Linked DNA regions of Daphnia pulex. The protein of the gene in region 1 purifies or fractionates together with the protein of each later gene. This does not show direct contact. Links are inferred from orthologs where the notes say so. Each region holds a gene or a part of one and is shown in the gene's direction. Other genes may lie near its edges. The genes, in order: U4/U6 small nuclear ribonucleoprotein Prp4-like, squamous cell carcinoma antigen recognized by T-cells 3-like, serine/threonine-protein kinase prp4-like, probable RNA methyltransferase Y17G7B.18 and zinc finger CCCH-type with G patch domain-containing protein-like.

Evidence for each region.
Region 2: the proteins of U4/U6 small nuclear ribonucleoprotein Prp4-like (region 1) and squamous cell carcinoma antigen recognized by T-cells 3-like purify together in Homo sapiens (affinity purification with mass spectrometry; 5 studies listed by BioGRID and IntAct, counting the BioPlex papers as one, with this or other methods). This does not show direct contact. The link is inferred for Daphnia pulex from reciprocal best matches to the Homo sapiens genes PRPF4 and SART3.
Region 3: the proteins of U4/U6 small nuclear ribonucleoprotein Prp4-like (region 1) and serine/threonine-protein kinase prp4-like purify together in Homo sapiens (affinity purification with mass spectrometry; 3 studies listed by BioGRID and IntAct, with this or other methods). This does not show direct contact. The link is inferred for Daphnia pulex from reciprocal best matches to the Homo sapiens genes PRPF4 and PRP4K.
Region 4: the proteins of U4/U6 small nuclear ribonucleoprotein Prp4-like (region 1) and probable RNA methyltransferase Y17G7B.18 purify together in Homo sapiens (affinity purification with mass spectrometry; 4 studies listed by BioGRID and IntAct, with this or other methods). This does not show direct contact. The link is inferred for Daphnia pulex from reciprocal best matches to the Homo sapiens genes PRPF4 and MEPCE.
Region 5: the proteins of U4/U6 small nuclear ribonucleoprotein Prp4-like (region 1) and zinc finger CCCH-type with G patch domain-containing protein-like purify together in Homo sapiens (affinity purification with mass spectrometry; 4 studies listed by BioGRID and IntAct, counting the BioPlex papers as one, with this or other methods). This does not show direct contact. The link is inferred for Daphnia pulex from reciprocal best matches to the Homo sapiens genes PRPF4 and ZGPAT.

What each region holds. Positions count from the first base shown.
Region 1 is NC_060018.1:6,530,429-6,534,713, forward strand, and holds U4/U6 small nuclear ribonucleoprotein Prp4-like, read left to right. Parts: upstream 1-1,754; 5' UTR 1,755-1,894; coding exon 1,895-2,253; intron 2,254-2,312; coding exon 2,313-2,432; intron 2,433-2,495; coding exon 2,496-2,894; intron 2,895-2,954; coding exon 2,955-3,231; intron 3,232-3,321; coding exon 3,322-3,378; intron 3,379-3,441; coding exon 3,442-3,528; 3' UTR 3,529-3,640; downstream 3,641-4,285. Other genes in the region: splicing factor 3B subunit 4-like, read right to left, coding at 1-177, 237-281, 342-655, 721-754; tumor protein p63-regulated gene 1-like protein, read right to left, coding at 3,666-3,859, 3,931-4,058, 4,152-4,285. UniProt on the Homo sapiens protein: Plays a role in pre-mRNA splicing as component of the U4/U6-U5 tri-snRNP complex that is involved in spliceosome assembly, and as component of the precatalytic spliceosome (spliceosome B complex).
Region 2 is NC_060026.1:14,703,178-14,707,822, reverse strand, and holds the start of squamous cell carcinoma antigen recognized by T-cells 3-like, read left to right. Parts: upstream 1-1,767; 5' UTR 1,768-1,929; coding exon 1,930-2,097; intron 2,098-2,161; coding exon 2,162-2,288; intron 2,289-2,348; coding exon 2,349-2,453; intron 2,454-2,508; coding exon 2,509-2,786; intron 2,787-2,840; coding exon 2,841-3,273; intron 3,274-3,346; coding exon 3,347-3,520; intron 3,521-3,582; coding exon 3,583-3,751; intron 3,752-3,812; coding exon 3,813-3,968; intron 3,969-4,027; coding exon 4,028-4,454; intron 4,455-4,515; coding exon 4,516-4,645. Other genes in the region: putative methyltransferase DDB_G0268948, read right to left, coding at 1-89; zinc finger and BTB domain-containing protein 18-like, read right to left, coding at 514-788, 857-1,275, 1,341-1,561. UniProt on the Homo sapiens protein: U6 snRNP-binding protein that functions as a recycling factor of the splicing machinery. Promotes the initial reassembly of U4 and U6 snRNPs following their ejection from the spliceosome during its maturation.
Region 3 is NC_060020.1:7,005,266-7,009,851, forward strand, and holds the start of serine/threonine-protein kinase prp4-like, read left to right. Parts: upstream 1-1,429; 5' UTR 1,430-1,585; coding exon 1,586-1,590; intron 1,591-1,652; coding exon 1,653-1,793; intron 1,794-1,923; coding exon 1,924-2,152; intron 2,153-2,211; coding exon 2,212-2,942; intron 2,943-3,017; coding exon 3,018-3,105; intron 3,106-3,181; coding exon 3,182-3,511; intron 3,512-3,854; coding exon 3,855-4,090; intron 4,091-4,405; coding exon 4,406-4,559; intron 4,560-4,586. Other genes in the region: regulation of nuclear pre-mRNA domain-containing protein 1B-like, read right to left, coding at 1-150, 206-577, 634-873, 934-1,084. UniProt on the Homo sapiens protein: Serine/threonine kinase involved in spliceosomal assembly as well as mitosis and signaling regulation. Connects chromatin mediated regulation of transcription and pre-mRNA splicing.
Region 4 is NC_060021.1:10,084,137-10,088,700, forward strand, and holds the start of probable RNA methyltransferase Y17G7B.18, read left to right. Parts: upstream 1-1,448; 5' UTR 1,449-1,555; intron 1,556-3,266; exon of another isoform or gene 3,267-3,337; 5' UTR 3,338-3,546; exon of another isoform or gene 3,547-3,586; intron 3,587-3,796; 5' UTR 3,797-3,824; coding exon 3,825-4,564. UniProt on the Homo sapiens protein: S-adenosyl-L-methionine-dependent methyltransferase that adds a methylphosphate cap at the 5'-end of 7SK snRNA (7SK RNA), leading to stabilize it.
Region 5 is NC_060017.1:8,204,381-8,208,790, forward strand, and holds zinc finger CCCH-type with G patch domain-containing protein-like, read left to right. Parts: upstream 1-1,443; 5' UTR 1,444-1,470; coding exon 1,471-1,671; intron 1,672-1,733; coding exon 1,734-1,913; intron 1,914-1,989; coding exon 1,990-2,255; intron 2,256-2,313; coding exon 2,314-2,486; intron 2,487-2,545; coding exon 2,546-2,812; intron 2,813-2,880; coding exon 2,881-3,069; intron 3,070-3,136; coding exon 3,137-3,432; 3' UTR 3,433-3,638; downstream 3,639-4,410. Other genes in the region: uncharacterized protein LOC124193369, read right to left, coding at 3,639-4,151, 4,234-4,339. UniProt on the Homo sapiens protein: Transcription repressor that specifically binds the 5'-GGAG[GA]A[GA]A-3' consensus sequence. Represses transcription by recruiting the chromatin multiprotein complex NuRD to target promoters.

The sequences.
Region 1 (4,285 bases):
TGCTGATCCATGGCGTTCACCCTTAGAATCCTTCTTGAAGGCATATGATATAGTAATTGGCCTATTACATAAATATTGGCCATTCATGGCTTCAATGGCAGCATCAGATGCATCAAAACTGGCAAAGTTGATGAATGCAAAGCCTTTTGAATTCCCTGTTGTAGGATCCCTCATGATCTGCATTCAAAAAAACAAAATAGTAAAATTTAAAACCCCAACAATGATTTCAAATTTACCTTTGGTGTCTGAAGAATTACGCCAAATGCTGAAAATGTGTCATACTAAAAAAGCAATAATAGATTAAATTGTGTTTTGAACCTAAAGGAATGCTGATTGGTTACCAAAAGTTTTTCATCAACTTCAGGATCTAAGTTTCCAATGAAAATATTTGCTCCAACATCTAAGTTTTTCTGGTGTGCTGATGCTTTGTTTACCCGAATGGGTTTACCATACAGCTTTATCATGTTCATAATTTTACATGCGTAGTCAGCATCATCTTCACTGAGGAATTCTATGAATCCGTATCCTTGATGCAGTAAAGTAATCCGATCTTTAGGCATATGCACATTTACTACAGGACCACCTTGAACGAACAACTCCCACAGCAAGGGCTCCGTAACTTTTTCGTCTAACCCACCAACATAAATGGTAGCATCTGAAAATGATAAAAATTTCACATAGTCATTTCATTTTAGTGCATAATAAACTTAAATTTCTTACCTTGATTTCTTTCTGAAACAGGTCCAGCAGCCATGCTGAAAGTAACCAAATAGTTTCCACCTGAAATTTGCAAACTTCCAAAATATAAAATGCTTGTTTGAGTGTGTCTGCCTTGTATTATTGAAGGCCGGTCAAGCGATCAGTTTTCCTATGCCAGTGCTTTTGACTAACCAAGCTCCAACTAGATGACGCCCGGAGCTAAAGACCGGCCCACACACTCAATAGCGGCAAGGGCGGAAGGATCCGACAGGTTTTCAAATCTTAGTCTGTGTGGTGTCTTGTGTCTCTTTGCAAATTGCCAAATTCCAATAAATAATGCCGTGTTTAAGCATGTATAATTATATCCGGAAATCCTACGAAATACTAAGAATATAAAATTTCTGTATCTAAAGCGTTAATAGAATACATCCTTTATTCCTTTCCCTCTCATACAGATCTTTATTAAGAACAATTCTTTGTAGTTATTATACAGTTTTCTAAAATTAGATGCATAAAATGGATAACCAAATTTTGAACTGACAATCTGATATTTCAAACATCATTTTTGGTTATGTCCCTATACTAGGCCTAGTATACTCCCTAATGTTTCCGTACACCAAATTGGCCTGTTACACAGTCTGTTACACAGTCTGCTGCATGTGTAATCGATCGCATATCAGGCATTTTATGCTATTAACAACTGTATGCTGAGCTGAACCTCAATTTTATAGGTTGCAACAAAATCATTTTTGGAAAAAAATCCCAGATGGGCATGTGCTGCACTATGAGTGCGAATAATTTTTTTCTAATCGAAATCACAAATTGGTAATATAAACCGAAGATTCAGTATTCAGGTATTATTCAGACTGGCTGTTTTGTATATTAGGTAGTGTAATAAATCACACATCATAATTTAAAATTTCTTTTGCGAGCGGCAGTTTATTATCCGAAGAATGAGTACATGGAACATAGTTTTCCAGTTTTCCACCAGTGGCTCTGTATGCTGCACATGATTTTTTCATACCGTAAGTCGCTTTTCGTTTGGGAGTCGTCTGGCTTGTAAAAGTCTATTTAAGATTTAAGAACGATCGTATTGACAACAAAAACGTGACAAAACGAGGTGTCGGTGTCTATAATATTTAAACATTGAGATCAAAACAGGAAAAGTTCAATTAGAAAACACATTTCTTTAAACATGTCGTCCACAACCGGTTTCGCTATCACAATTGACGATGGGGAAATTCGGAAACATCTTAGGCAATTAGGTGAACCAATAACCCTTTTTGGTGAAGGACCTGCTGATCGCCGAAATAGATTAAAAGAGTTACTCTCGGTTCATGGACATGATTTGATCGATAGAAAAAAAGAAGATGAAAAAGAAATTGTGAAGGTTGAGAAAGATCAAACTGAAACCACTTGGTATCATGAAGGTCCTGAATCACTCAAAATTGCTCGTTTGTGGTTAGCATATTATTCCCTCCCCAGAGCAAAACAAAGGTTATCTAATGTGAAACTTGAATCTGAAATACCAGAATCAACAAGAACAGCCAAAAGGTCTGAAATATGCTCTGTTATGAAAGCACATCCCAATTAATATATTTTTTCTTTTCCAGGCAGGAAATGGTGAAACGGATGAGAGGTATGAACATCATGTGCAGCCAAGTTGGTGATGGAAGACCAATATCATATTGCCAATTCAGCCCAAGTGGAAATTTGTTGGCCACTGCCTCCTGGTATTAAATATTCTGAGATTGTAAGAGAGTTAATCAGATAATAAAAAACAATTCATGTTTTAGGAGTGGCCTGTGTAAATTGTGGAATGTACCTGACTGCACTTTGTCTCATTCATTGAGAGGCCACAAGTGTAGTGTTGGAGCAATAGTCTTCCATCCACAAGCCACCTTGAGCTTAGAACCTTCAGAATTAAATATGGCTTCATGTTCCATGGACGGCGCAGTCAAATTGTGGAATTTAGAAAGTGAAGAGCCGATTGCTGATATGGAAGGACATGCTCCGCATCGAGTGTCAAAAGTTGAATTTCATCCTTCTGGAAGATTTTTAGCTACATGTGTTTTTGATAATTCCTGGAGGCTATGGGATCTAGAACAGGGTGTAGAAGTTCTTCATCAAGAAGGGCATTCCAAACCTGTATACAACATAGCATTCAATGTTGATGGTTCAGTGGCTATCACAGGGTACCAACACCTAAAAATATGTTAACATAATATTTTAATTACATGTGGAATTTTTTCTAGTGGCATGGACTCTTTTGGTCGAGTATGGGACCTCAGAACTGGGCGCTGCATCATGTTTATGGAAGGTCATTTAAAAGGTGTCTTGGGCATCGATATATCACCTAATGGCTACCACATAGTAACTGGAAGTGAAGACAATACCTGTAAAATATGGGATTTACGTAAGAGATCCTGTATCTATACTATTCCTGCACACACAAATTTAGTGTCGAGCGTGAAATTCGAAAGAAGTTCCGGACAGTATATTGTCTCATCTTCATATGACTGTACCGCAAAGGTATGAATAATCATTAATAGATTTTCTTTCTGCATTCTTTAAATGTTACATTTGTCATCTATATATATTTGAAATAATTTTCTGCCCTAGATATGGGCGAGTAACACTTGGCAACCATTGAAAACCCTTTCGGGACATGACGGAAAAGTAAATTTTTTAATCAGATACGTTTGTGATGTGTTTCTCAATTTTTTTATTTTATTGTTACAGGTTATGGCAGTTGATGTATCGCCTGACGGGTCGTTCATCGCCACAGCCTCGTACGATCGCACTTACAAGCTTTGGTCCCCTGAATAAATGTAGAAGTATAGAGTGCAGCTTCGAAGACGACCATGCTTGTTTGATTTCTTTATTTGTGTATTGGACTTCGAAAACATTAATAAATTAAATACAAAAAAGTTGAAGCCTATTGGTTGGGAAGATTGGGTGGAGTATTAAAAACTTACTTTCCCTCGTACTTTGTAAAATCCGAATTGACTGTAGTTGTGTACTAATGCTGGAAGCCCTAAATACGAATTCATTATAATTGGCTTGTATTCAACTAAACCCTGGTACTCGTTTTGCAAAGTTCGCTGTAGGTTGACTGTAAAATCTTTAACGTCGAATATAGCAGGAGTCGTGTGTTCAGCTAAAATTCATAGGTAAAAATAAGAGTTAACATCCATCGAATAATGATTAACAGAATTGCAATCTTTTTACTTGAAAGTAGTGGATGCGATAAAAACGTTAACCAGGGAATTGCCTTGCTCCATGGATTCCATAACTGGGTAAAATTGGGTTCTGCCGGCACGGACCCAAACAAAATTCGGACGCCGTTTCTTTTCAATCTAATTCCAAAGCAAGAACTTTCTTGAAAACTTTTGTTCGACATTTCTACATTATAACGTATCAATGTGTCATGTCTGATTTAGTTATGTTACCTGTCGGAAGTGAAGTCAGTTTGAGTTTCTTCACCTGTTGAACGTTTATGTAATAGCTCCGATGCCGATTGACTATTAAAGTTACCTCGTAGAATAGACGAGAATCGTCCTGTTATAGAATCTGCGAGGTATTG
Region 2 (4,645 bases), on another chromosome or scaffold:
ATTCTATTTCCAAGCTGCTTCGGCGGACACGGGCGAAATTTAGCATAAACATTAGCATGTGTGACACTTTCAAAATATCTCTGAGACATTATTGCACTTTAAGAATATTTTAAAACTAAGTTTGAATTTTGAAAATGGTAAATATAATATTTTTAAGGAGTAAATATTACCGCCAGCACTTTGTTTACTTCAAAACTGTTGTTATTGTATTGTATCGTGAGCTTCAGCCACCAGACGGCGTCGTACAAAAATACGCAACCGCAATTATGCATAACGATTGACTTTTTAAATTATTAATTATCAGAAAATCTTTATCATATCTTATCAGCCCACAGAACTCAATAGCAAATGCAATCAATTTAAGTTATTCAAAATAATATATAGGGGTAGTGCACATACCAAATATCGAAAATAACATGCTTACTTGAGACGGATATTGGTGCAATAGGCCAAAAGGAGAATTGCAATAAAAATTTTACAGTTATGGTTGATCATCTTTACTAGAAGTTAAAGTCAATTGGCGATGTTATCTGACGGCTCGTTTAGATGAAGTTGGCACTGTGACAACGAACCAAGGAGGCCATCAAGTGAAGAAATGTGCCTCCTTAAATGTCTCTTTAAAGTAATGCGCGAGGTAAACAATTTTCCACAGATGCTACAAGTCAGCTGCTCGGAATGATGAATTCCAAGATGACTTCTTAACTCTGTTTTTGCATTAAATGTCTCTTTACAAATAGAGCACTTGAGGGCTTTTACTGCAACAGCAGATTTTGAATTATTAGATGATTCTGCCGTAAAGAAAATAGACAAATTTGTGATCACTATACAGACTGGTAATACAATTTTATTTTTGTACCTGGAATTGGCTCTAAAATAATCTTCTTTTCAGTGTGTGTAGAGCACTGGGAGATTTGCCTTTTCCTTTTAGAATTGATTTCTGAAGAAACTGTGTTTTTGGTCAAATTTTCATTTGAATCATCTGTTTTTGTGGGAAGAGATTCTTGAACATTTTCATAAATTATTTGAAGATCTTCATCTTCATTTGAGCTTGAATCAGAATCACATTCAATTTCATGCGACTGCAGCTTTTGCAGCTGTTCCTCAACCTTTCTCTTTTCTAATATTTCCACTTGGAATTGTTCTTTCCCATGTAATTTTACAAGACCTTTGACTTGAAGTTCTTTGGCATATGTGGACACTGTCACCAAGTCGACTGATGATCCTTCAGCAATCCCATTGTAAAGGTAATTAACCAAGCAGACCATAGGTTTATAACTATTGAATGGTAAAAGATAAAAATGGTTATTTTTTAATAAGTTTCAAATGGGAATGACTATTACCTGAATCCTTCAAGGAAAATGACAGGCTCAACATGGGAATCACAACCCAATAGCAACTGGCTAAACAAAGGGCTAAGCGAAGCGAGAACAGAACGATTAACCAAAATTTTTTTTCCTTCACAAATTAAAGTTACATCTGCGTGACATTGATTTTTATACATGGCCAACAAATTCCGAGTCCACAGATCGTCCAGAGATTTAAAATTCGTCTTGTTTTCCATTTCTTTGTTTAAGAGTCAACCAAGTCTAAAAATCACTGGAAATATATTTCTTCAACTCTTTAAAAAAGCTAAATAAAGTATATTTCGAATTTCGTTGAGCGATCGTCTTGGATGTGTTGTTTTCAACAGTCAATCAAATCAATTAATGTTAAGCAGAATAGCAGATGTGATTCATGTGAAGATTTAAGTCTTCTGCTTGATAGTTCATTCATCTGCCGCTAGGCTGTGCGTGCCGAATACGAACAACATCGATGTAATGTTGTGTTGTCTTTGAAATTAACCCAACAACCCCAAAACTCGATCTCGAATTATTAAAGAATTATACAGTACAAGTGCTTCTATTTATACACATACACAAAAAGAGCTTCATGATGGATGTCCAGCAAGGTTTTGCTGAGGAAGATGAGACTGAAGAAATGAGTTTTGAAGGCAATGACAACCCTAATGGGTCAGGCAGCTCTGATTCTGATGATTCAGAAAAAGAAAGGGAAGAGCATTATGTTCTCGAGAGAAGAATTGTTGAACTAAGAAAAGAAGTAAGTGTTTTCCCATGTTTGTGAATTTTTTGGTTCAATTTTTAAAAAAATTGTATGTTTTTAGCTCGCAAAATCTCCAAATGCCTACAACACACATGTTGAACTGATTAGTTCTCTACAAAAACTTGGGGAACTAGATCAGTTGAGATATGCCAGAGAATCTATGCATGCCATTTATCCTCTGACTGAAGGTAAGATTTAATAAACAATTTAGATAATTTTTTTTTTACATTCCTTATTCTCTTATTTAGAACTATGGCTTGACTGGCTAAGAGATGAAATTAAACTTGGATTAACAGATGAAGACAAAAAGAAAATTGAATTGCTGTTTCAAAGGGCAACAGAGGACTACTTAAGTATATAAAAATATAAATTTTCAACTTTTCAAAATATAAATATTATCATTTTCAGATATTGATATTTGGGTGGAATACATCCAATTTTGTCTTGCTGGAATGGATATTGGAGGTGTTGAAGCATTGAAAAAAATTAGAGCAGTTATGGAAGAAGCCATTCGACATGGAGGACTTCATGTTGTAAAGGGGGCTTTGCTGTGGGATTCTTATCGCGATTTTGAAATGGCGATATATCAAACAACTAAAGGTGGAAGTGAAACTGAGAAGACCAGTCAAGCCCAAAAAATCACGCATTTGTTCAACCGTCAACTCTCCGTTCCCTTGCTGGATATGGTAAATTTCTTAAATATCGTAGATTTGTTCTTCTTACTGAAGTCTTATTTTCAGGAGCGAACTTGGACAGAATACAATGAGTGGCTTCAGATTTTGGATCAGAAAATTGAACCACATGTCAAAGCCACTTATGACAAAGCAAAGGGACAAATGGAAAAGATAGCACCCATAGAAGACACCCTGATAATCGCTGTTGAAAACGACCACAAGGTTGCAGCTTACCGTACGTATTTGGATCTCGAGATGAATGAATTTAAAGATCCTGCTCGCATTCAAGCACTTTTCGAGCGTATTGTTGCCGAGATGCCGCTGTATGACTCATTCTGGAACGATTATTGCAAGTTCGTCGATCATCAATTCAAAGCCGCAGAAACCACTTTTGCCATTTTTAAACGAGCAATCCGCAACTGTCCGTGGAACGGACCCATCTGGTCTGAGTACATCTTGGCTGCCGAGCGCTACAAAAAAGAGGATGGATTCATTGCAGGTAGATAAATAGCGAATTATAATAACCATTCATATTGTTTTTTACGTTAATAATTCAAGGGTTTACTCAACAGGTTTAGTAGAGAAGGCTTTCAATGCGGGACTAGCAACAGCGGCCGATTTGCTGTCCGTCTGGATGAGTTTCATTGAATACCTTGTACGAAAATGCACATGGGGTGACAGTGACAATGAGAACATCGTTCAACTTCGTGAAGCTTTTACACGAGCGACCGAACATTTAGATCAAAGTAAGTTTTTCTAAGACCAATGAAATCGCCAATATAAAAACTATAACTTTTTTGTTTTGTAGCTTATGATGTCGAAGGAGACCCGGAGTGTACACTGCTACAATATTGGGCATATTTCGAAGCAAAAAAGCTGAATAATATGCCTAAAGCTCGAGACCTCTGGAGCAAGATTATAAGCCGGGGACACAGTAAATCTGCTCAGTGGTGGCTGGCTCGTGTTCAGTTTGAAAGGTTATTGATCTAATTAGTTAATTCTATTAGAGTTATATTAACACAATGCTTATTATAACAGAACACACGATAACAATAAAGAAGAAGTCCGCAAATTATTTACGAAGAGTCTAAATGGAGTCTCTTCGTCCGATTGGCCAGAGTTGATCGTTAAGCAATGGCTGCAATTTGAACGCGAAGAAGGAGACTTACAAACCATGGATATCGCTAAACAGAGGTCTGAAAAATAATTTAAAGCTTTTGAAAATTTTGATTTTAATTGTTTAAATATGCCAGGTGTGAAGCTCGGATGAAGAAGGTTAATAAAGAAAGAGAGGGGCAAACGGTTCAAGAAGTAGAAACGGCTAAAGGTAGGAAACGAGGAAAGATTGAAGATGCGAAAGAATCGAAACCCGTGCCTGCCAAAAAACCTAAAATAAGCCATGATGCCGCAGCAACTAGTACGAAAGTTGTTCCCAAAAAGAAAGTTGAACCTAAAGTAAACGCCACCGAACCTGCTAGCAAGCCCGTTGTCATTCCTAAACCGGTTACCGATCCTTCCCGTCATGCCAATACGGTCTTTTTAAGCAATCTGGCCTACGAAACATCTGAACAAGATGTACGCAACATGATGAGTTCTTCCGGCACCATAACGGACATACGTCTTGTTCTGGACTACAAACAACGTTGCAAAGGATTTTGTTTTGTCGAATTTTCTTCACAAGTAAACTTCCATAATTAAATTTCCTACGCTTGTCCGTTAAATTCATTTAAAACTATCTTAGGATGAAGCGAGAGCAGTTCTGAAGCGGGACCGTGAGCTCATGAAAGGACGACCGGTTTTCATGTCTCCAAGCGAACCGGACGCAGCATTGAAGCATCCAGCTTTCAAGTACCAGTCAACATTAGAAAAGA
Region 3 (4,586 bases), on another chromosome or scaffold:
AAAGTTCTTTCTGTGCTGCCGTGAAATCATGCAGCATTTTAGTTACCGTTTTTCGATCCTCCATCTCCTTCAACAATCGGCCATTGTAGTCATTAAGTAACTCAACTGCTTCGTTTACTTTACCAGTTAACATTTCTGCTTGAGCTTGATCTGAATAAAAATAGATTTTGGCATTGCCACACACGAAATTTCTTGGAAGAATTACCTGAGATTTTTGAAAGCAAACTGACATCTGATACTTCAGGAGGCAATTCAGTAATTTTTTTCCTGACAATACCATCACTTGATGCTGCATTTTCAAGGGTCTGAAGTGCTTTAACAAGTTCTTCAGGTTCTGGAGCATCATTAGCAGGTAGTTTTGGAGACAAAGTTATGTGGACTTCTTTCTTTCCTTCCTTATCAAACTGTATCACTTCATTACATTCTGATTTTCTTCGTTCTTTCTTAGTTTTATCAGGATCTTCTTGCTCTTTGTTTTCTTTGACATTTTCTAACATTTCGCGGCTCTCACCCCTATCTCTTCTTGATATTTTGACAGGGGGTTCTCCATTGTCAAATCTTCTCTTGAGACATGATTCTGCATGAAGGTATCATTTAAAATTACGTAATGAAAATTATTTCTATAGCTTATACCTAATGATTTTCTGAATTCAGCAATCTGTTTGGAATCAAACATGTTTCTGTCTCCCCAAATATTGAGAATTCGTTCTAGTCTTTTCTGAGTGTTTTCATCATTGACAGCTTGACCCATCAATTTAAGGGCTGGAGCAAGAATTGGACCAAAGTGATCTCTAAATTCTGGACCTTTCTTTCTGCTGTTCTGGATGACATCGTTGACGAGATAGATGAAAGTGAGTTTTCGACTGTCCTTGGCTAAGAAATAGAAATGCTGGAATTTAATTGGAAATGTGGATTTAGGAATTTTTTTACTACCTTTCGTGAATTCCTTTAACCAAATTTTGACGATACTAGCATGGTGTTTACGGTGGTGGATTAACCACAAAGACAATGTTTGAATACTTTGTTGAGAGTTGTTTAGTTCGGCTAATTTTTTCTCTAGTGCGGCATCAGAAAATCCTGACATTTTGTAGATTAATCTCCATAGATTAAGTTTCGTCTATTACGTTAACCGCAAACTCAGTCCCTAAGATTTGTGAGTCAGTCTTCTCTTCTTCTAGAATCTCGATTAGGTAAAGTAGCAGACAAAAATGCACGAAATTTTTTGTCTGTATTTCATGAGAACCATCCTCTTTTTCCGAATTTTGATTTAGTTTATAATAAAAAAAAAGAACAACAGTCATAAATTTATTTCGTTTTATTCTATATTTCATGTTTAAAATTAAAATGTAATAAAAAATCACCCAGTTAATAGAAATATAAGGACTAAATTAAAACAAATGCTTTCTATGTTTAAATTGGAAAATAATTTACAAGTGTTTGACAACCCTGCTGTTCGCTAGTTTGTTAGTCTGTCAAAATTTGTCGAAATTTGTCGACAAAATCATCACTGTGTTGGTATTCAATAGGTTGTTGTGTATTATTTAGATCAACGCGTGCAATTCCTTTAGTTCCAAAATACAGCAATATGAGGTAAGCTTATGGTATTCATATTCACATGATCATAAACTAAATTAGTTTGAATTCTTTTTAAGCACACCGGAGTTGAGCGACGTCGACATGCTGGTAGCCAAGAATGAAAATGAAGGAAAAGAAGAAGACGAAACCAAAAGCAAGCACAAAAAAACTAAATTAAAGAAGACTCACAAACACAAGAAAAAAGATGAAAAGCCAAAGTAAGTTTCCAAGTTTCAAAAAATTCAAACTTTTCCCGTGTATGTATTATAGATATACAAATCACATAAATTATGATATTGTTTTGTGTTGACGAAATGAATGTTGCAATCCCAATTTTCTACCTTTCAGGAAAAAGAAACGTAAACAGAAGAGGGATCAAAGTTCAGATGAATCTGAAAATGATGAACAAAAAAGGAAGAAAAAGAAAAAGATAAAAAAGGGAGAATCTGATGTGGAAACTGAACCTGCAAAAGCAAGGAAAACTCTGAAAAATGGAGTGGAAAATGGAAAATCTCAAGAAATTACCCTTGTAGATTTGGAAGAAGAATTGAATCTGGAAGAACTGATGAAACAAAAGGTTTTTCATCTCATAACATTATTTTGTAAGCATTAACAATATTGAACTTTTTTTTACAGGAGCTGCTGCAAGCTAGACTTGGTGCTTACGATTCTTCTTGCTCTGACACCGAAACCAAAACGATCGAAGTAAAAACTACTGAAAAACTACGAGACAAATTGAAAGAAATCGAAGTTTTAACCGAAACGCGAAATAAGGAATCTCGCTTAATTCGGGATAAAGAACGGATAAGAGAAAGGGAGTCAGAGCAAGAACGCAGTAGAGAAAAAGAACGAGAACCTGGACGGGACCGTGAAAGAGAAAAAGGAAAAGAACGAGATCGAGAAAAAGAAAGAGATCCTGGACGAGAAAGGGATAGAGAAAAGGAGAAAGAAAGAGAAAAAGAACGAGAAAAGAGAGAACAGCGAGATCGACAACGTGAGCGCGAGGAAAGAGAAAGGAAAGATCAACGTGAACGAGAGGAAAGAGAAAGAAGGGAAAGAGTCGAGCGCGAAAGAAGAGACCGATCTAAAGAGAGACGAGATAGAAGAGACAGAGATATGCGGTCGAAGCGCGAGAGAGAAGACCGAGATCGAAGAATGCGTGATCGTGACAGAGGTCGTGAACCAGACAGACGAGATCGCCAAACTAGAGAAAATGAACAAGATCGTGAAAGAGATCGTAATAGAGACTGGAACAGAGATAGGCCGAGAAGAGATGATCACAGAGATCGGCCAGGTAAAGAAGATCAAAGGCGTTCTACGAAGAATGGAGAATCTAGCAAGCCAAACGAGTCATCATCGGAAGATGTGTAAGAAATTTGATTAGCGTTTATGTAGATTTTTCAGCTGTTAATTGTTCCTAATTTCTGTTGCGTATTTATTAGTCCACTGGATATTGAATTTGAGGATGAAGAAGAAGACGAGGATAAGATTATTGAGCAACGCCGTAAACAGAGGGAGGAGTTGCTTAAGGTAATGCAAATTCTGAATATTTTAAACAAAGCACCTATTGGCAGTTAACATTTTTTTCTACCTACATTTATCACAGAAACTGGGAGCTCCTTCAGAAGACTCCAGCCAGTCTTGGAATGTAGAGGGCTACGTATCTGGAACATCGTCACCTTTCAAAGAAGTGCTAAACGAAGGCGGAGAAGATTCTATGATGAGCACTCCTAACATGTCGTTTGATTCTCCTATCATCGTGACAAAAAGCAGCTTTAGTGATGTGGATAGGCAGAAAGATTCTATCACTGGTGAACCATCTGGAAAAACTGACAGTCAAACGGATACCAGGGAAGCGAAGCTTGAGGAAGAGAAGCGTGCTAAAAAGAGAGACATGTTCGCTCCGGAAGCTGATATGTTTGCGGAAGAGTACAGTGTGAGTTTCTATTTCATTATTTTTTTTCTAGTGTGCCCATATTCAATCCAGTCTACTCACAAGTAATTTCAGTTAGTGCCGAATATTACTTGCGTATCTTCGTAATTTATTTTATGAGCCTACTATTTTGTTAGAAAAATGTTTAAGCTGATGGCATTGAGATTATCGTAGATCAATAGAAGAAGCCGTGTCCGACTGCTCCTTTGGCGACGTCGTTGAAAGCAACACTTCGGCATCTTAGCTTCCTCTTGTATGAGCACACTGATGCACCATTTGTCATTCGAAGTCATGTTTGAACAATTTTAATAGCAGTTGGAAACCATTTTCTATGTACATTTAACAGAGTCCTGCTACCGCTATGGAACAAATGAAACGCGTGTCAGACAACCCTAATCTAACTGACAACTGGGACGACGCCGAAGGTTATTACAGAGTTTGCATAGGAGAGACTTTGGATGGGCGATACTCTGTATATGGTTACACGGGCCAAGGTGTATTTTCGAATGTAATTCGTGCAAGAGATCAACTTCGAGCTGGCCAAGAAGTGGCAATCAAGATTATTCGCAACAATGAGATCATGTGAGTGTTCATCAGTTGCGTATATTCCCAAGGAAGTATCCAGTTGTCAATGCACATAGTTTTCATTGAGTTTTATGCATGCTTATCAGTTCGCCTTTATAGCTGTTCTTGATTTACAGTGGATGAACCGATCGGGCAGCCCAATCAGTTGGGTATTAATCTGTTTGGATCGAACTGTTTACGTAATGCTGTGAACTATGTGCCTTGTCATCAACGGGCTTTCGCCGGATATCTTTTCCCTTATGATGGCGAGAGATGATGCCAATTTTTTTAAGTGGACACAAATTTAAAGCAATCCTCTTTTGTTCTTTTCAGGCATAAAACTGGGCTCAAAGAACTGGAGATTTTGCGAAAGCTCAACGATGCCGATTCGGAAGACAAACATCATTGCGTTCGACTTTTTCGACACTTTTTCCATAAACAGCATTTATGCTTGGTCTTTGAGCCGTTAGCTATGAATCTGAGAGAGGTGACATCACTATAAATTTATATCTAT
Region 4 (4,564 bases), on another chromosome or scaffold:
ATTTAAAGCAATAGACAGGAACAAAGCTGAAATCAAACTGGAGATGATTACAAAAATGTTCGTTGTGTCTTTGCAGGTTAGAAATGTGGATAGGACAAAATCTTCCCTTCCCTTAGGCTGCCGAGGGGGGGGGGGAGCAGATACGTAAACGTGTTTCTAATTCTGAGTTTATAGAGAACGCCTCGCCTATAACAGAGAATGACATTAAAAGAAAGAAGAAAAAAGGTAGAATAAAAACAGGGCCTTATTTGAAAATTCGAAAACAAAAGAAATATATAGGGAAAAAACTCGATGCGTATCGTTTTGAGCGTCAAAGTAACGTCGTTTGTATCTGTCAGGATACTTTCTCTATTTAGATCTATCGAGATAGGCAAGCCAGCAGCCATAGCGTTGGAGTCTTCTTCCCTCTTCGAGTTGATGTGCGCACATTTACAGTATAAGAATCTCGACTGCGGTCAAGAAAAGGAAATGGAAAACTGTGAAGAGTTTTATTAGTTTTACTACACAAATTATTGCATTTATGCCTTATAATCAGCATATACTACGTATTCTATCAGCACAAAGTGACTGCAAGAATCTGTGGCTGAATAAGGCTGTTTAATGAAACCATTTTTGGTGACAAACACATCCAACGGTTGCAGCAGCATAAATAAGTTGGCAATAACTTGTCTCGTATTGAATGCTTTTGTGTCTCGTTCGTCTCGTTTGTCCATCTCCAATTACGGAATCAAAGATCAACACTGTTTTGTTTTTGTTTTTTAAATTTTTGGATGAGCGTGATTTCTGGTTGGAAGCAATATCCAACCCGGAGGCAACGCGTTGCTTGCACTGATTGAACGACTGCAAAATGATCGTCGCTTTGAAAAAAATTTCGCTTTGAAAAAATGTTCCCAATGGTTTCAATTAATTTGATTTAATAGCTAACACTCTGAATTACTTGTTAAATATCGCAATAAACTTGATAACAAAACTAGAGATTTGGAATTTTAAAAAATAATAAATAAAATCTATCAGATAGAATAGAGACACGCGTGTCTCTATTAGCGGTACTGACAGTAGCTTATTCTAGAAATGAGTTCGTTGCCTCCGCTGGTGTTCTGGTAAACTCATAACACTTGAAGGAACAGAAAGGAAATGAGTTATTATCATCAGATGGAGTTCGAAGAGGAAAATAGTTAAGGGTGTTAAATAGCAAGAGCATTGGCATTTTTTTAGCTGCGAACCTGGGAATAAATAATATGTTTCAAACGGAAAAACTCGACTAAAATTAAGTAAAATCAGTGGAAATGAGACGGGCAAATAGATAAAATTGGTAATGTGATTCTGCATCGAACACGATATCAGATTCAGATGCACTGTGTTACATATCATTGACCTCAATTTTTTATGTTATAAGATGACCATTTTAATCATGTATGTCTCAACATTTGAGCATGTGAATTTATTCTTGTTTCGTCTACGCTCGACGGTAGCCTACTGCTTTTTCTCCATGAAGCCAATTCCATGTCACTATCATATCCTAAATATCATTTCAAGATATAGGGTCTACCAAACCGTAAGTACATAAGCAAAGATTTTGTAGGGTGAAAGCTAATTTCATTATGTGCTTCAAATTTGCAACCTTTTCCCGCTGGCGCTAGTTATAAGTTAACATATAGCCTGTGGCGCTATCAATGCTCACAAAGAATTACCGCATTATAAAGATTAACTAATTAATTATAACACTGAGAAATTTTAGGTTAAATATTGAAAGGGAGAATCAAGAGATAAATAATCAAGAGAATGATTTTAAACATCTACAGTTAACATTGTTTAGCTATTACTATAAGGGTGAAGCCAGTATGCCGAACGCCGAAATAGGGGGAAGAGAATGGGTAGATAGATGTCGTGTACGTGGTGTGATTGTGTGACGTATATTCGTAATATGTGTATAACAAACACGCAGGCAGTCGACAAGTTGTGGCATTTTACTTCATGAGCCACGCCATCTATTGATTTCTTATATTCCCTTTTAGATCCCTATCGGCCTCTCCCTACTCCGACCAGATTTTCAGATTGCTATAATTAATTTCTGTCGAGGAAGAATTATAAGATCTATGACCAACTGATAGATGCAATCAGTGACCAATTTAACTCAGCCCACGAACAAATGTGACAAACCTATTTGATGTAAGACTTGTGCGTACATTGGCAAATATGAAATTCAAATTTATTTTGATGTGAAACTTACTTGACACGGTAGCCAAAGTAGGTGGTAAGAACCATCACGGCAGAATTATTTCAATTCATAATAGGATAAAGCAAATCATGCAACAATGCACAACGGTGCTGCGGTGTTATGTACGCTCATGCTTGCGGCTTTCTACAACAATTAACAAACATGAACATAATCAAATTATCAAAAAAGATCAGCAATTCAATAAAGCAATTTTTATTTGGAATTAAGTTGTGAGATAACTTTTAGAGGAATGGAAAGATGTTACGTGTATACCTGTCCTACGAATGCGACAAGAGACGATTCTTTTATTCGTGCCGCATTAATCCTCTTGCTGAGCTGCTGCAAATTGCACCTTTATACTTAAAACTAAAAATTTCGCCATCTATACGAAAACGATGGAGTGATCATAGTATCATACACCGAAACTAGATGGCGTGGAACGAAACGTTAACAAAACGTTTTTATTGAGTACCTGAATGGCTGAATCGAATTCTGGAAAATTTAGATCTCCAATATATGATTGGATTATATATGATTACGAATCACATGATGGCAAGATTATTTACATTCTTAATAAACTTGGATAACTCGTTTTTACATTCTTAAGTCTTAACAGATGCATGCGTAATTATTAGTAATTGCATACGTAGGAGATGTCACTTTCTCCCTGCATGACAGAAACAGAAATTTAGTAAAAATTTTGAATTCGATTATAGGAAGTACACCTAGAAATGTTACAGTAACCTAACCGAGTTTATAAGATACAACAAAATATATTGAGTAGTAACAGATTCACAATTTAACACATAATTAAGTCAAATAGGAGGAAATAAAATCATTCATCATGTTCGTCGACATGGCTTGAAATTGAAGTATTTTTAAATTGCACTATAATATGGATTAAATTTTTTTTAATGTCTTACAACTTTATGAAGTTTTAACGAATAGTTTTTTACGTTATCCGTCACTTTTAGTTTTTGATGTACATAATAAATGCACGTCTAATTTTTATCTATTACTAAGCTATAGAATTTTTCAATAATATTGGATTTCCATAAGCGCATAACCTGACTGCAATTAATTCTCGATCAACCGCAAATTCAGTTTCTCTTAAACTAGGTACACATGTAATGCTCAGTGCTTTTTTTTGCCAATTGTGCAACGCTGCTATGAGAGAGGGGATGTATTTATTACTGGGGTATGGGGACTGAACGCAAAGAAAGGAGCAGAAGCATCAGAACGTCGAATAGACAAGGTTGCTCAGGATACACCTTGTCCAGAAATTGGAACACAAATCATCACTTTTGCCAACTCAATTTTAATTCTAGGTAATAACTCATCCTTTCCAATTGTATTGGAGCCAAAAAAGTAGGTTATAGTTAATTTTCTTTGTTTATAAAATACGTTTATGATGTGAGGTTTCTGGCGTGACCGCTAGATGCTGCACAGCGTGTGGATTTATTTAAATTTGAAAATTATTTAGAATTTGCATTAAAAACTTCTAAAATTGCAATGTTTTAGTGTGTCAATGTTTAAGCAGAGAGATGTGTGTATTGTAAAGCTGTTTTCTTTTTACAGATTGCTGAAGCAAATTTAATGAAACATCATGGCATCAACCCAAGTAGTCTCTCTCAGTATTGGACAAATGAAGCGGGTGCATTTTCCTGCAGAAGGGGATGACAGACCTGTAGAAGCTATTCCACATTTTGTCAGTCCCAAAAAAATGGTGAAACCAGTAACAGGCAGTCAGCGCAAAAGAAGTCTCAGTCTTTCATTTGAAAGCAAGCAACATCACTTCAAGAGAAGACGCAAGGAAGAATTTGTGAGACCAACAAAATTTCTACTTGGAGGCAATAGTCGAGACCCGTTGAACTTGGGCAGTCTAGCAGATGAAAGAATCAACAAAGCTTTGAATGAGCATACCCCAGAATCCTCTCCGTTACCAACCCCTAAACACAGGAAGGAAGAAATTGAAGTATTAATTCCATCAAATATAAGGGATCCTTTAAACCTGAGTATGCCAGATGATAATTTAGCGGAAAGAGCGTTAATATCTCCGAATGCCGTCTCTAGAAAAAAGAGAGGACGAAACCGTAAAAGAAGGAGGACCAATAGCGCCAGTGAAGTACTGGATGCTGGACGACATTCACCCGAATTGAGCACGCTCACATTGGATCTCCCTGTAGTCAAGCAAGTCGCTGTTGAGTTGACTGAAAGTCATGCGACAATCGAAACAAAGCCAGAACCTGCTGTAAGAGAATTCAAGGATCTAAAGCTGAAACCTGAACCAATTAGACATTGCAGAAGGCCGGAAGACAAAATTGTTAGCCCTGTAGTTCCACAACC
Region 5 (4,410 bases), on another chromosome or scaffold:
CCAGCAAGATCGACAAAGGACATCATGTGGATGGCAGCTTCACTTGGCTCGTCGCAATGGTTTGTTCGAAATAACTTAACCGTAAAGATGCAATGAGATCGACTGGAATTGTAGTTCAACTTGGTAGCAGCAAAGTGTAAGTTCTCTTTTCCAAAAAGCAAAACTCGGACAGCTTCATCAGCAGAAGGGACGCAAATCTCTTTAAGGCCTAGAAAACAATAAATTATTTAAAAAAATTTTGATTCACACAATATTAAATAGCACACGTTACCTTTACCAAAGAATTTCTTCTTGCAATCATCAGTAATACGCAAGGCTACTCATTTCTTCTTTTTGTCACATCCATCCAGTAGATCAAAGGCTTGTTCATTATAAATTTTGCAGTACGATACCCAAACTGAAAAATAATCTTGAGGGTGTTGAAGAGGGCAAACTGTCTCTTCTCAAGCTTGAATATTCCAATCATCCAATGATCCAAAAGGAACCGAGGAAATGCTGTCCTTAGTTTTAGAGTTGAAATGAAATCCATTCATCAAAATTGCCCTGAAAATAACAGTACGTAGGTTAAAAATTTCAAATTATTTCAAATAAACTATTTTTAAAAACTTTGCAAAAGGAGAAAATACTACCTCTCCAACTCTTCTGCTTCAATTTGGTTATGATTCAGTTTCATGACTTCATTAAGAACGAGTGGCTTTAGGGCAGGATTCTTAAGTAGTCTATCTTTCAGGCTGTTGAATACAACATCCAAAGAACGAGGAATTAAACCTGCATCTTCGACATTGCCCAGCAGCATAGTGTAGGTTTTGCCTGCACTGTTGGCTCCGTAAGTGAAAAGCAGTGCATTCTTGCCCATCAAGAAATCTAGTGGACGGCTGGAGTCTGGACGCACTGCATTCGAGCACCGTCAGATGGATCTCCTATCAACTATTTGAAAGTTCACGTAAGAATAAAGCCATTAGACGAGAAAATCAAAAACAGCACTTAATCGATCAACGGAAATCACATTATTGTAAGAGCACAAAAAACTTCTGCGTCATTCAAGACTAGACACCACTCTGGAAAGAACACTTTACCGAAATTAAAATTCAACAAAATTGATGACTCATCAGTGAAACAGGAACATCTTTTCAAAGACTCTGCAAGATTAATTTTGTACAAGATTTCTTGATGGACAAGAATGCACTACTTTTCACTTACAGAGCCAACAGTGCAGGCAAAACCTACACTATGCTGGGCAATGTCGAAGATGCAGGTTTGGTCGAGTCTATTGCACCGTCGGGCTGACGGTGCTCGAACTCCAGACTCCAGCCGATCACTCGCGATTTTTTTCATTTGGCCTTCGACGTTGCCAGATATGGCCAATTACGGCCAAATTTTTGTTCAAAATAGCCAAAAATTTAGCTAAAATCATAAAAAATCGAAATCACTCATTAGCAAAAATCTAATCTAACTTTAGATTAACAGATTATGCTCTCGTCACATTTTCATTGCTTTGCAACGCTGCTAGCAGACTACCGTAGTATTTATAAACAAAACATCAAAACCTTTTCAATTCTCGACAAAGCTCGATGTCTTTCTCGCTACAGTTTTGAAGTTGACCGTTATCCTTTTAATATGTCAGAAAGCGTGCAATCACTACAGGATTCACTTGAAATATACCAAAATCAGGTAGACACGATTTTAATTTTCTAAAGAATCGCAATTTTTAAGTTGTTTTTATTCAAACGAAGTTGAAACAAATACAAGATGCATTGTTGATCGCGAATGAAGAACAAAAACCGGACTTGCAGCAAATTGTAAAAGATTTAGAAGAAATCATATTGCTTACTGAAACAAGTCTATCAAGTGCACCGGTCCAGGAAGATAATGATACCTCATCAGCAAACAGCCAAAATGAATCATACTTGGATGTTAGTTTTGGTTGACAATAAGTGGCATAATTTCAATGAATCAGCTGAAATGTTTGGTTTTATTTTTATATTCTAGGAAGAACTTTCAGCATTAGAGGGGATGAAATGTAAAGCTCCGTTTAAATATGAATGGGGTGGAGTTGGATACCACAGTGCTATTATCATTGGTTCTGAGTTAGGCGAGGATGATTTAGTTTATGTGAAAGCTGTTTTCATGCACCCCACTACTAAAAAAATGCAGCCATGTCCATATTTTTTAGAAGGAAATTGTAAATATCCAGATGAAAAGTGTCATTATTCCCATGGCTACACTGTCCGATTGGATGAAGTGCAAGATTTCAGGTGTGTATCTCATCAAATCTAAATCTAAAAGTAATTATTTTTTCTCACTTCAAAACAGTGATCCAGACTATAGCAAAATCACTGAGGGCTGCACAGTATTAGCAAAGTATAAAGATGAACTGTGGTACAGAGGAATTGTTGAAGACATCATCAAAGGAACAGAGTTTTCCGTCAAATTCCAACATTGCAATGATGTACTGTTACTCAATTTGCATGCTGTCTATCCTCTAGGTAAAGGTTACAATATTTATGGCCATAGAATTATTTCAAAATTATTTCGATTTCATCAGATGAAGACGACGAAGATTCGTCCTCTGAATCCAGTGAGGATGAAGACGACGACGACTCTCAATTTACTCCGAGATGCCTAGAAGAACATAACGTAGGAGCTGCTAAAGAAACTGGCTCGTTTGGATTCTGGGAAAAACATACTAGAGGAATTGGATCTAGACTAATGGAGAAAATGGGGTATGTCCATGGTTCTGGATTGGGAAAGGAAGGAGAAGGTAGAATCAATCCAGTAGAAGCCATGGTTTTCCCGCCGGGTCGATCACTGGGTAAGTGGCATCAGTAGATATCTTTTTCTTTTAAATTTTAATTGGTCTCTTTGTTGGTTTTTAAAAAGATCGTTGTATGGAATTGAGAGAAGAAGCCGGAAGTGGGAATATGCTTTCGGTGGAAAAGAAACTTGAACGCCAAAAAGCCAAAGCCCAGCATCGATTGCGTCAAATAGCCAACGCATCCGAACGTGGATCAGTTTTCGATTTCATCAATTCCAAGCTTACAAAAACCAGTGGACAGGATTCCAAAGGAGGTAAGAGTACCAATAACTCATCCGTTAGCAGCCCTTAGCAATCTTTATTGTTTATTTGATTGGACAGACGGGGCTTCGCATTCACGAACAAAAGTGTCTGACTTGGGGCAGCTAACTCGTGAAAAGCTGAACGTTCAAAGCCTCCAGATCGGAGAAGAAATTCGCAGAGCTGAGCGTGACATCATTAAAATGAAACAATCTCTTCAACGTCAGAGTGATCGTGGTGACCTTGCATCCGTTTCGCAAATCAGATCGAGACTGGCCGAGAAAGAAAAAGATTTAGATCGACTTCGAGCTTCTGATCGTCACATAGTGAACGAGCAAAAGCAAAGAAAGAGCTCTTCTAAATTGACCGTTTTCTAAACTGACCTTTTCCGTAATACTTCCAATAAAGATAACCGTGTAACAACTAATAATCTAAACTTCGTTTCAACTAATCACAATGATCCATAAAAATGCGATATGAATTTTGTAATCAGAAAGTAAGAAACAATAAGAGTTTCCAAACAAGAAGGTAATAACAATTATAACAACAGTTCATTTCAATGGTGGGTTAGCGGGCAGTTAAATTAATAGAATCCGTTGAAGAATGGGTAAGGTTGAGGGTAGTAACCAGTAAATCCAGGGTAAGGAGTGACGAATCGGGCAGGAGCGATGGGAGCAACTGGGGCAGTGTAAACGGCGTTGTCGGGCTGGCCGTCCTGGTTCAGGTCAACGCTTTTGTAACGGAAATCGTTGAGGAATTCAGCTGGGTTGTGGGGAAGGACGGCAACTTGACGTTTGCTGCGGGTGGACTTGACCTCAGCGGCGGGAGCAGCGGCAGCCTGGACGAAGGGGTAGGTGAAAGGAGCGCCGTAAGTGTAGGGGAATCCAGCGCGGTAGTTCAGACCGGCGTAGGGGTAGTAGTTGGGCAAGAGAGCGGGGGCTGCGGTGTAGACTGGGACATCGGGTTGGCCGTCCTTGTTCAAGTCAACGCTCTTCGACAACAAGTCATTGGTAAACTGAGGATTGTATGGGGACCATTGGCTGTAATATGGGGCAACCCATTGGGCGGAGGCGCAAGCCAAGAAGAAGCTGATGATCTATTGATTAAATTGAATTGATTGTTAATGGTAGAGAATGAAAATATATTAAAAAGAATTGGATAGAGACAAAAGAACTTACCAAGAATTTCATATTGGGATAATGCTTGTAGTGGACAGACGTTGCAGTGAACAAGTGAAGAATTTGGAATTGGGTTCTTCTTTTATATCGTTCAAAATTAGCCGTTTGTTGAGATTAGAAACTATGGTGCAATACCTTTTAGTTTAGTTGAAACACTTTGGTGCTAAGAAAGAATGA